Linked DNA regions of Caenorhabditis elegans. The protein of the gene in region 2 purifies or fractionates together with the protein of the main gene of each other region. This does not show direct contact. Each region holds a gene or a part of one and is shown on either strand. Other genes may lie near its edges.

Region 1 (4,523 bases), 2.8 Mb from region 2:
TATAATACTAACCCAAACATTCGGTTCTTTCATCACAATATCTACAGTAACCGATACATTATCCCGTTTGAACGTTTTCAGTACGGCCGTCGCATTTTCCATTTCCTCAACTTCATCGATTATTGATTTGTAGAATGCGTAGTTACATGTGACCAAATGAGTTTCTAGAGCTTTTCGTGTAGCCTGAAAATTCTTAATTTAAAAATCATAAAATCTATAAAATACATTTTGAAGTAGTTCAATTTCCTTGTTAAGCATTCGTTCCATTCGTTGCAAATTCTCCAATTTTTGGAATTTGGCGCCCGTCAACTTGGCGACTGCTTCTTGAACTTCTTTGATTTTTTCGATTCGCTGCCTCTCCAAATCATCTTCGTCGACTCCATGCATTTTTTGTCTGAATTAATTCAGAAATTGAGAAAAAAAAACTTTGTGAATAAAAGATATATGAAATTCGCGAACATAACAGTATTAGAATATTAAATTGAACAATTAAAAGCAGAAAAAGGCTTGGAAACTTTTATTCTTAAGGTGAGATTCAAGATTCAAAAGTGAGAGATTCGAAATTTAAGGCATCGGACAATTTTTTACCCATTCTGAGATCGGGTTAATTTTTACATATTTAAAAATGAGTAAGGTGAGATAATAATGAAAAATTAGACTGCAAATTGGAAGTAATCACATTGGAACGGCGGTTCTCCATTGTTTGTTGAAGTTGTTCTCCGGTAACAGTCGATACAGAGAAGACGGCTGCAATTAATTAAACTTATTACATTTTTGAAAAATTTATTTGGACAAATGATTAAAACCACTTGTCAACTTTTTTAAATTTAATTTTTTGAAAAAAAAAACTAACTCAAATGTGACAAATCTTCCGATCACGTCGACAGAATTAGCAATTTGTCTGGATTGTATAATAAGTGGTCGAATATATCGAATATGCCGAAGTCTGACACATCCTGTACACAATTCGAGAGATGATATTCCTGGTTTTTCAAACATCAGATCATCCATATCGAAACGAAGTGAGAGTGGAAGGAATTGACGTCCAAATTTCATCGATTTTGAGCATCTGAAATGAATTCAATTTAAGATTTTTTTCTTAAAGTTTTAATTTCTCGTACTCTTCTCGATGAATAGCATTCGCAGCAATTGTGCCCAATTTGTCGACACCTCCCTCGTGTGTGTATTCGATATTATCAACTTTTGTAAGCAGGCGACGTATGAAAATTGGTCCAATTTCTTCTTCTCTAAAATAAAAATCGGTTGCAATAGGCTGCATCGACTTGTCGATTTTAATTATTTTTTTTTAGTTTTTATTCTGTTGGAATTTCACCTATTTAAAATTTTTTTATTCTTTTCGTTAAAACATGAATTTTTTTTGCAATTTACTAAAAATATAGTTGTTTTTTTTAATTGTTACAAATTTTTTCGGAAATTTTTATTTTGGCTAATTAGCTAATTGTCAAACTTGCCGATTGCCGAAACTTTTTCGGGACTTTATATGCAAAATAGTGTGTTTAAAATATATTTTGCAGTTTTTTGGTAAACAATTTTAATTGAAAAATTTAATTGTTCTTACTTGGAAAATCATAAGTCCGATTTTGCAGCTTGAACATTAAAAATTAAATATTTCCAACAAAAATTAAAAAACTCACAATCTAACCATTTGATCATTGGCATTAATTCCCACATGTTCGATACTTGGAATTTTTGAGAATACATAAGGTAAAGCTGTCATAAGATTGTTGCTAACATCTATTGTATTTAGATTCTGTAGAACTCCAATACGTGATGGAAGATATTTTATTGCGTTATGAGCAGCATTAATAATCTTGAGCTGTTTCAGATGGAAGATTGGAGGGAAAATCTGAAATATAAATTTGAAGATTATAAAATAATTATTTTCGGAGCCGTACTGAAAGATGATTATCTCCAAAATCCAGTAATGAGATAGAAGTCGGTAGTTCTCGGAACATCGTACACATTGCTGGAACAGGAATCAACTCCAGGGAACAGCTTCTCATCTCGAGTGACTGTAATTGCTTCAGCTTGCTAAACACGTCAAGATCTCTATTATGAGCTCCAATTGGATTTCCATTGAGTGTTAATCTGGTGAGATTATGGCAGAATCTCCAGGCTTTATCAGGTCTCCGTAAATCGATAGGCTCAATTTTTAGTGTTTTCAGGAATTCGGAGCATGATTGCATTTGCTTTTTGTACGTTGCCTGATTGTTGACCGTGATGGTAGTTGGTTTGAAGTCGGAACTTTTTACCTGAAATAGTATTTTATTTTAATTCTTTCAATTCCACCGTCAAGCTTAATACCTTCACTTTCTCAATATCCACATTTTCTCCTTTGACAATTTTTCTGATGGCTTCTATCAGTTGTGCCAACGCTTCTGGATTCGCCTGAACAATAAAAATTATTATTTTTATATTGAAAAATGCTTTACACGTACTTTACTGATGCAAACCATCACAGCAGGAGTTGTTTGAAATGTGATAGTGGTTTTTCCTTGAGCAATAAATTTGTCGAGAATAATTGGCGGCTTGTTGAGCTCGAATTTATTTCCAGTTTTGTCACCGGCCACGGCCACTGTTATCTGATATTGTGGAGGGGTCTGGAAATATTTTTTTGTTTTGTTACATATTAACTTATGAAAATTTAAATTACCTGTCGAAGTTTTTGCAGAATAACAAATCCTTTTTGCGATTTCGTGGGTTTTGGATTAACTCCGGCATTTGCTTTATAACGTGCAAAAACCACTTCACATGGTAATCGCATTTTTTATTGAAATCTGGAATAAGCAACTATTGGTAGTTTCTTTGTATTTGAAAAGCAAGTCTCTGAAAATCAAAATAAGTTTCTGGAAAATCAAGTTGAACCCGATAAAAGAGCACTGGGGAGAGTTACATTTTAAAGTTTTTACATTTATTCCCAAGAAGAATAATTAACGAAAAAATAAATAATAATTACCATTTGCTTACCAACTAATCGGACTTCAATAAAATTAATAGAAAATTGTCACTTATAAATATCACAAATGAACACAGGAAGTGATTGGGGGATGAAAACGATAATTTAAATAAGTCAGCGGGAGAGTCGAAATTTACAAAAAAAACGGGGACTGGAAACAATAAAGAATAATAATTAGCTAAAAGTTGTACCCACATTATAAGCTAAAAGAAAGTTTACAGTAAAGTCATTATGCACATTTTTATTCAGAGTTCTTGAAGATCTCCAATGCATTGTGTACAGTGGAGTTGTCCAGCGGGTAGAATTTGGGGTCTCTGTAAAGATATATTTGGGAACGATGAATCAAAGAATATTCTACTTACACTGATATCAGAAATAATTTCCAAAATTCGTCTAACAGATGCATCTTGGGTTTGCCCGAAAGTATCACTATTATCTTTGTCAGCAGAACAATCCGATAATCGTGGACTATTTTGAGCTTCCAACACAGTTGGTGGTGGAGTACTTGGAATCTTCTCATCATCACTATTACCATGTACTTTTTCACGCTCTGGAACTTCTTCCAATTTGGCGTCCACCAAAACATCTTCGTCTCCGCTCATTTCATCAACTGTCGAATGGCTATAGCTTCGGGAAACTCGGCGAGCTGCTTTTCGGGAGATTGAGCTTGTCTGGTATTCCTAAAAATTAGCTTGTAGGTATTACAGTTTCATAGATTAATTACCTTTAATACTCCACCTTTGTTAAGTACAGTCATTAACACATTTTGCAGTTCTTGGCATCGTGCAACAGTTTTCGTTCTGTCCTCTTCCATAGCCTTCAATTGTTCATCTTTTACACGAAGCCTTTCACGAACCAATTTTCTCTGATGCTGATAGAGAACAACGTGATCAGCAATTGTGTCATTTTCGAGTTCTAGCTGCTGGTTGATGTGCTCTAATCGATCAATTGTCTCAACGAGTTCAGCATTCTGAAGCATTGCTCGAGCGAATCGTTTCTCTAATTCTTTTCGTGCCCATAGATCTTCATGAAGCTCTCTAGAAGACTGCTGATTTTCAGCTTCTTCTGGAACCTTGGTTTCTTTCAACTCCAGCTGTTCCTGTTTGCTTTCGAGATCTTTCCGTTCTTCCTCTGCTCTTCTATCAGCTCGTTCATCTTCCAATTGTTGACGGCAATTATTAAAAGCTTCTCTGAGTGCTTCATTTTCGGCATGAAGATCCTGAACTCTGCCAACTGCTTGAGTGAGCTCAACGTGAATCGAATTCTGATTCTCATCTTCTGCATTTTGCCTCATTATTTCGTCCATTTGTTCATTATGAGTGTTACTTCGTCTCAAATCAGCACGGACCAGTTGAAGTTCATGAGTTTTCAGCTCTAAATCGGATCTGATTTCTGCATTTTCTCTTTGAAGCGTTGAGATATTTTCTTTCAATTCTTCATTGAGTTTCACGATTTCTTGAGATTCTTCACGTTGTTCTTGACTTGCAGCAGATTCTTGTGATGCTTCGAGATGAGGTTGTCGAGCGATTACTTCTGACAGATTACC
Region 2 (3,006 bases):
GGCTCAACGTTTCGAACATCTGGCTCTTTTCCTTCAGCTAACCACACCACTCTTCGTTACAATCCCTTCTGCGCACACATATCCTATCTACCAGCCGGACAGATGCTCGTTTCTCGGTGCAAAACGTTGAGAGTTGAGATCGAGCAGCCGGTTGGTAGTTCTTAATGACAAATTGCCAAGACTTTTTCTGAATTATTTTAGGATTTAAAACTTTTCTAAAGTATTACGATAGTTCATAATTTCTTTCTTTTTTAAAAATTGGCTCTTTTTTGTAATGTATGGTATCTAACTAAAACTAGGCCTCATTTCCATAACTATTCTTTAAATTGAGTTGAGCTCAAAGAGCTTAGACAGAACTGGTGTGAATCATAGAACCCACCTGTGTTTTTACTTTCTTTGAAAAATGTCGGTCACTTAGTCGTCTCTCTGTCTGTTCCTTTTCCTAATCACAAGTAACAACACACAGTCTTCTTTCACATATATTATTTGTTGACCAATCGTAGGGTCAACTATCTAGTACTCGAGACCGCCTATTTGAACAGAGCTCCTCACTGTCACCAAATGTACCGTATTGCTTTCCGGCTGTTATTGTTGTTATCACTGCTTCTTCTTCCTATCATGTTACCCATCCAACTATACACCTTAGACTAGTCATCTTATTGATATACATTCCTCCCATCCAACACAACGGTATTCTATTTATTTATCCAATTAGTCATAGTCGTACCACCATCCAGCACGAAGGTGCCTCTTTAGTAAAGAGTAGAAAGAAGAACCGGATGGGAAATGTTTTTGTTACAAAAATGACACATATTGTAGTGGACAGAAGGAGTGAGACAGACATGAGCAAGCCAATTTGTTTATAATTTCTCTTCTAGAAAAAAATACATTTTTCCATACTTCACTAGTCAAAACCTTTCACCTTTCTAATACATCTCGTAAACCATAATCTTGATAGTTCTGAGCATTTCAATACGAAAGCTTCTCACTGTCTAGATCTCTGACTGAGTGCCCTCATCAAAAGTGCAATCTGTCATCTGTTTCCTCATAATCACGGAGCACTAATTTTTCTCTCTGCGTCTCTATAATCAGATATCTCTCGTCACTAAGAACTTTCCGAAATGTTTATGCTTCTCATCTGACCACTTCGGTTCCGCACAAAAAAGTACGGCATTCCAAAAGAAATCTGATCCCCCTCCGTTCATTCGTGGTCCGAGTCGGTGCCACCAGTCGTTGCGCATTGAATATTTGTTTGGTCCGTTCCCCTTCTTCTCCGACTGCTGACCTCGGGCACTTTGATGACCGGGCCACCACCTCAGTACCCCTCTATTACACCCTCTTTGCCTCCGCGCATATGACTCCACCCCTTCTCGTGGAAGGCGTGTATCTCCCCTCTTTTCCGCTATTCCCTCGATGGATATATATTCAAATGTATGTGTGTTCCTGACGGGAGGGCGTCTCGCTTGAGAGCATCGTCACATCTTTTACAATTTTACTTATGATTTTACTTCATCTTCTTCTTCTTACTGCGATTTTGATATGCATTCTTATGTAAACTATTATTATTCCAGGTTTCCTCACTCTTTTCAAATGTCTTCTGCTCGTCGTTGCCTTTTCGGTCGTCCGACGCCCGAGCAACGCTCCAGGACTCGAATTTGGCTTGAAGATGCTGTTAAGCGCATGCGCCAGGAAGAAAGCCAGAAATGGGGATTCGACTTTGAACTGGAGACTCCCCTCCCAAGCTCTGCTGGATTCGTTTATGAAGTTATTCCAGAGAATTGTGTTCCGGAGTTCTACAGGTAATTGAATTTTATAAATTTTTCATAGTTATTTTACTAAACAGTTTCATTTTTCAGAACCAAAGTTCTCACTGTCAGAACCACATGCTCATCGCTGGACATCAGCTCAACGACTTTGACTCCATTGAGCTCTCCGAGCACATCTGATAAGGAGGAGCCCTCGCTGATGGATCCCAACAGCTCGTTCGAAGATGAAGAGGAACCGAAGAAGTGGCAATTCAGAGAGCCACCAACTCCACGGAAGACCCCAACAAAGCGTCAGCAGAAGATGACCGACTTCATGGCAGTTTCCCGTAAGAAGAATTCGTTGTCTCCAAACAAGCTGTCTCCGGTGAATGTGATCTTCACTCCAAAATCTCGTCGTCCAACGATCAGAACTCGATCTTCATGCTCTCCATACTAGAGGTTTCATTTTGACTTTTTTTTGCCCAATTCCACGGGTTGAATCTAATCATTTGATTATCTCCTCGACAGTTTCTGAGTCTCTCTTAATTGTTCAACTAGTCATGTTTCCACAAATGTTTTATTGTTTGTTCCAAAAGCCCTGTGATCCATGTTTAGGAACTCTGTAACTCTTTTTTCCCATTGCCATTTGTTTTAAACAACTCAAAGAAAAATAAACCCTTTGAAATTATTTTAAGAACTGTATTCTGGTGTTTTCTTCAACTTATAAAAAAAAAGACGAATAGAAACTGGCACACGGTGCAGTTCCATTGGTAACTTCAGCAAAGAATATACTGAAATCACGAAAAGTGGTACAATTCCGCGCATAATTTTGAAACTTCTAACATTCTTCATTAACTTCAAACTTCAAACATTCTGTAAATGTTGTAAGATCAAATAAATCTTTCCCGGTTCACCCACTGCCACCCAAATAGACATTGCGTGAAGATTGCGTGAATTTTAGGTAGCTACCAGCCGGATTAGGCTTCTCTAATTCAAATTGAGTAATATGGAACGTTTATGAGTATATGCTAATAATAAATAAGCATGTTTGATTACTAATTACATAACACCAAGTCATCATATCAATGGACCTTCTCTAGTCCCATAAATCATTTTTATTGCATAACTTTTTCTGAGAGTACATTATCAACATCGTCCTCCTCCCTTTTCTTATATTTTATGTGCTATTCAACCCAGAAAGACAGTTCCCCACGAGAAGACCTTGGAACGGACTTTTTATTGCGGTTTGCATTCAATCTCC

What was found. The genes of interacting proteins can lie anywhere in the genome.
Region 1: the proteins of cki-1 (region 2) and lrr-1 purify together in Caenorhabditis elegans (affinity purification with western blotting; 2 studies listed by BioGRID). This does not show direct contact.

What each region holds. Positions count from the first base shown.
Region 1 is NC_003280.10:5,033,642-5,038,164, forward strand, and holds lrr-1 (PIF1/LRR1 pleckstrin homology domain-containing protein), read right to left. Parts: upstream 2,799-4,523; 5' UTR 2,786-2,798; coding exon 2,675-2,785; intron 2,622-2,674; coding exon 2,460-2,621; intron 2,410-2,459; coding exon 2,326-2,409; intron 2,274-2,325; coding exon 1,917-2,273; intron 1,868-1,916; coding exon 1,656-1,867; intron 1,248-1,655; coding exon 1,122-1,247; intron 1,070-1,121; coding exon 854-1,069; intron 748-853; coding exon 654-747; 3' UTR 501-653; downstream 1-500. Other genes in the region: F33G12.3 (DUF1308 domain-containing protein), read right to left, coding at 13-183, 226-387; golg-2 (Golgin subfamily A conserved domain-containing protein), read right to left, coding at 3,223-3,291, 3,340-3,657, 3,702-4,523.
Region 2 is NC_003280.10:7,809,669-7,812,674, forward strand, and holds cki-1 (Cyclin-dependent kinase inhibitor 1), read left to right. Parts: upstream 1-1,571; 5' UTR 1,572-1,590; coding exon 1,591-1,799; intron 1,800-1,856; coding exon 1,857-2,202; 3' UTR 2,203-2,437; downstream 2,438-3,006. UniProt on the Caenorhabditis elegans protein: Negative cell-cycle regulator that functions at the G1-to-S-phase transition. Required for suspension of the cell cycle in dauer larvae and starved L1 larvae.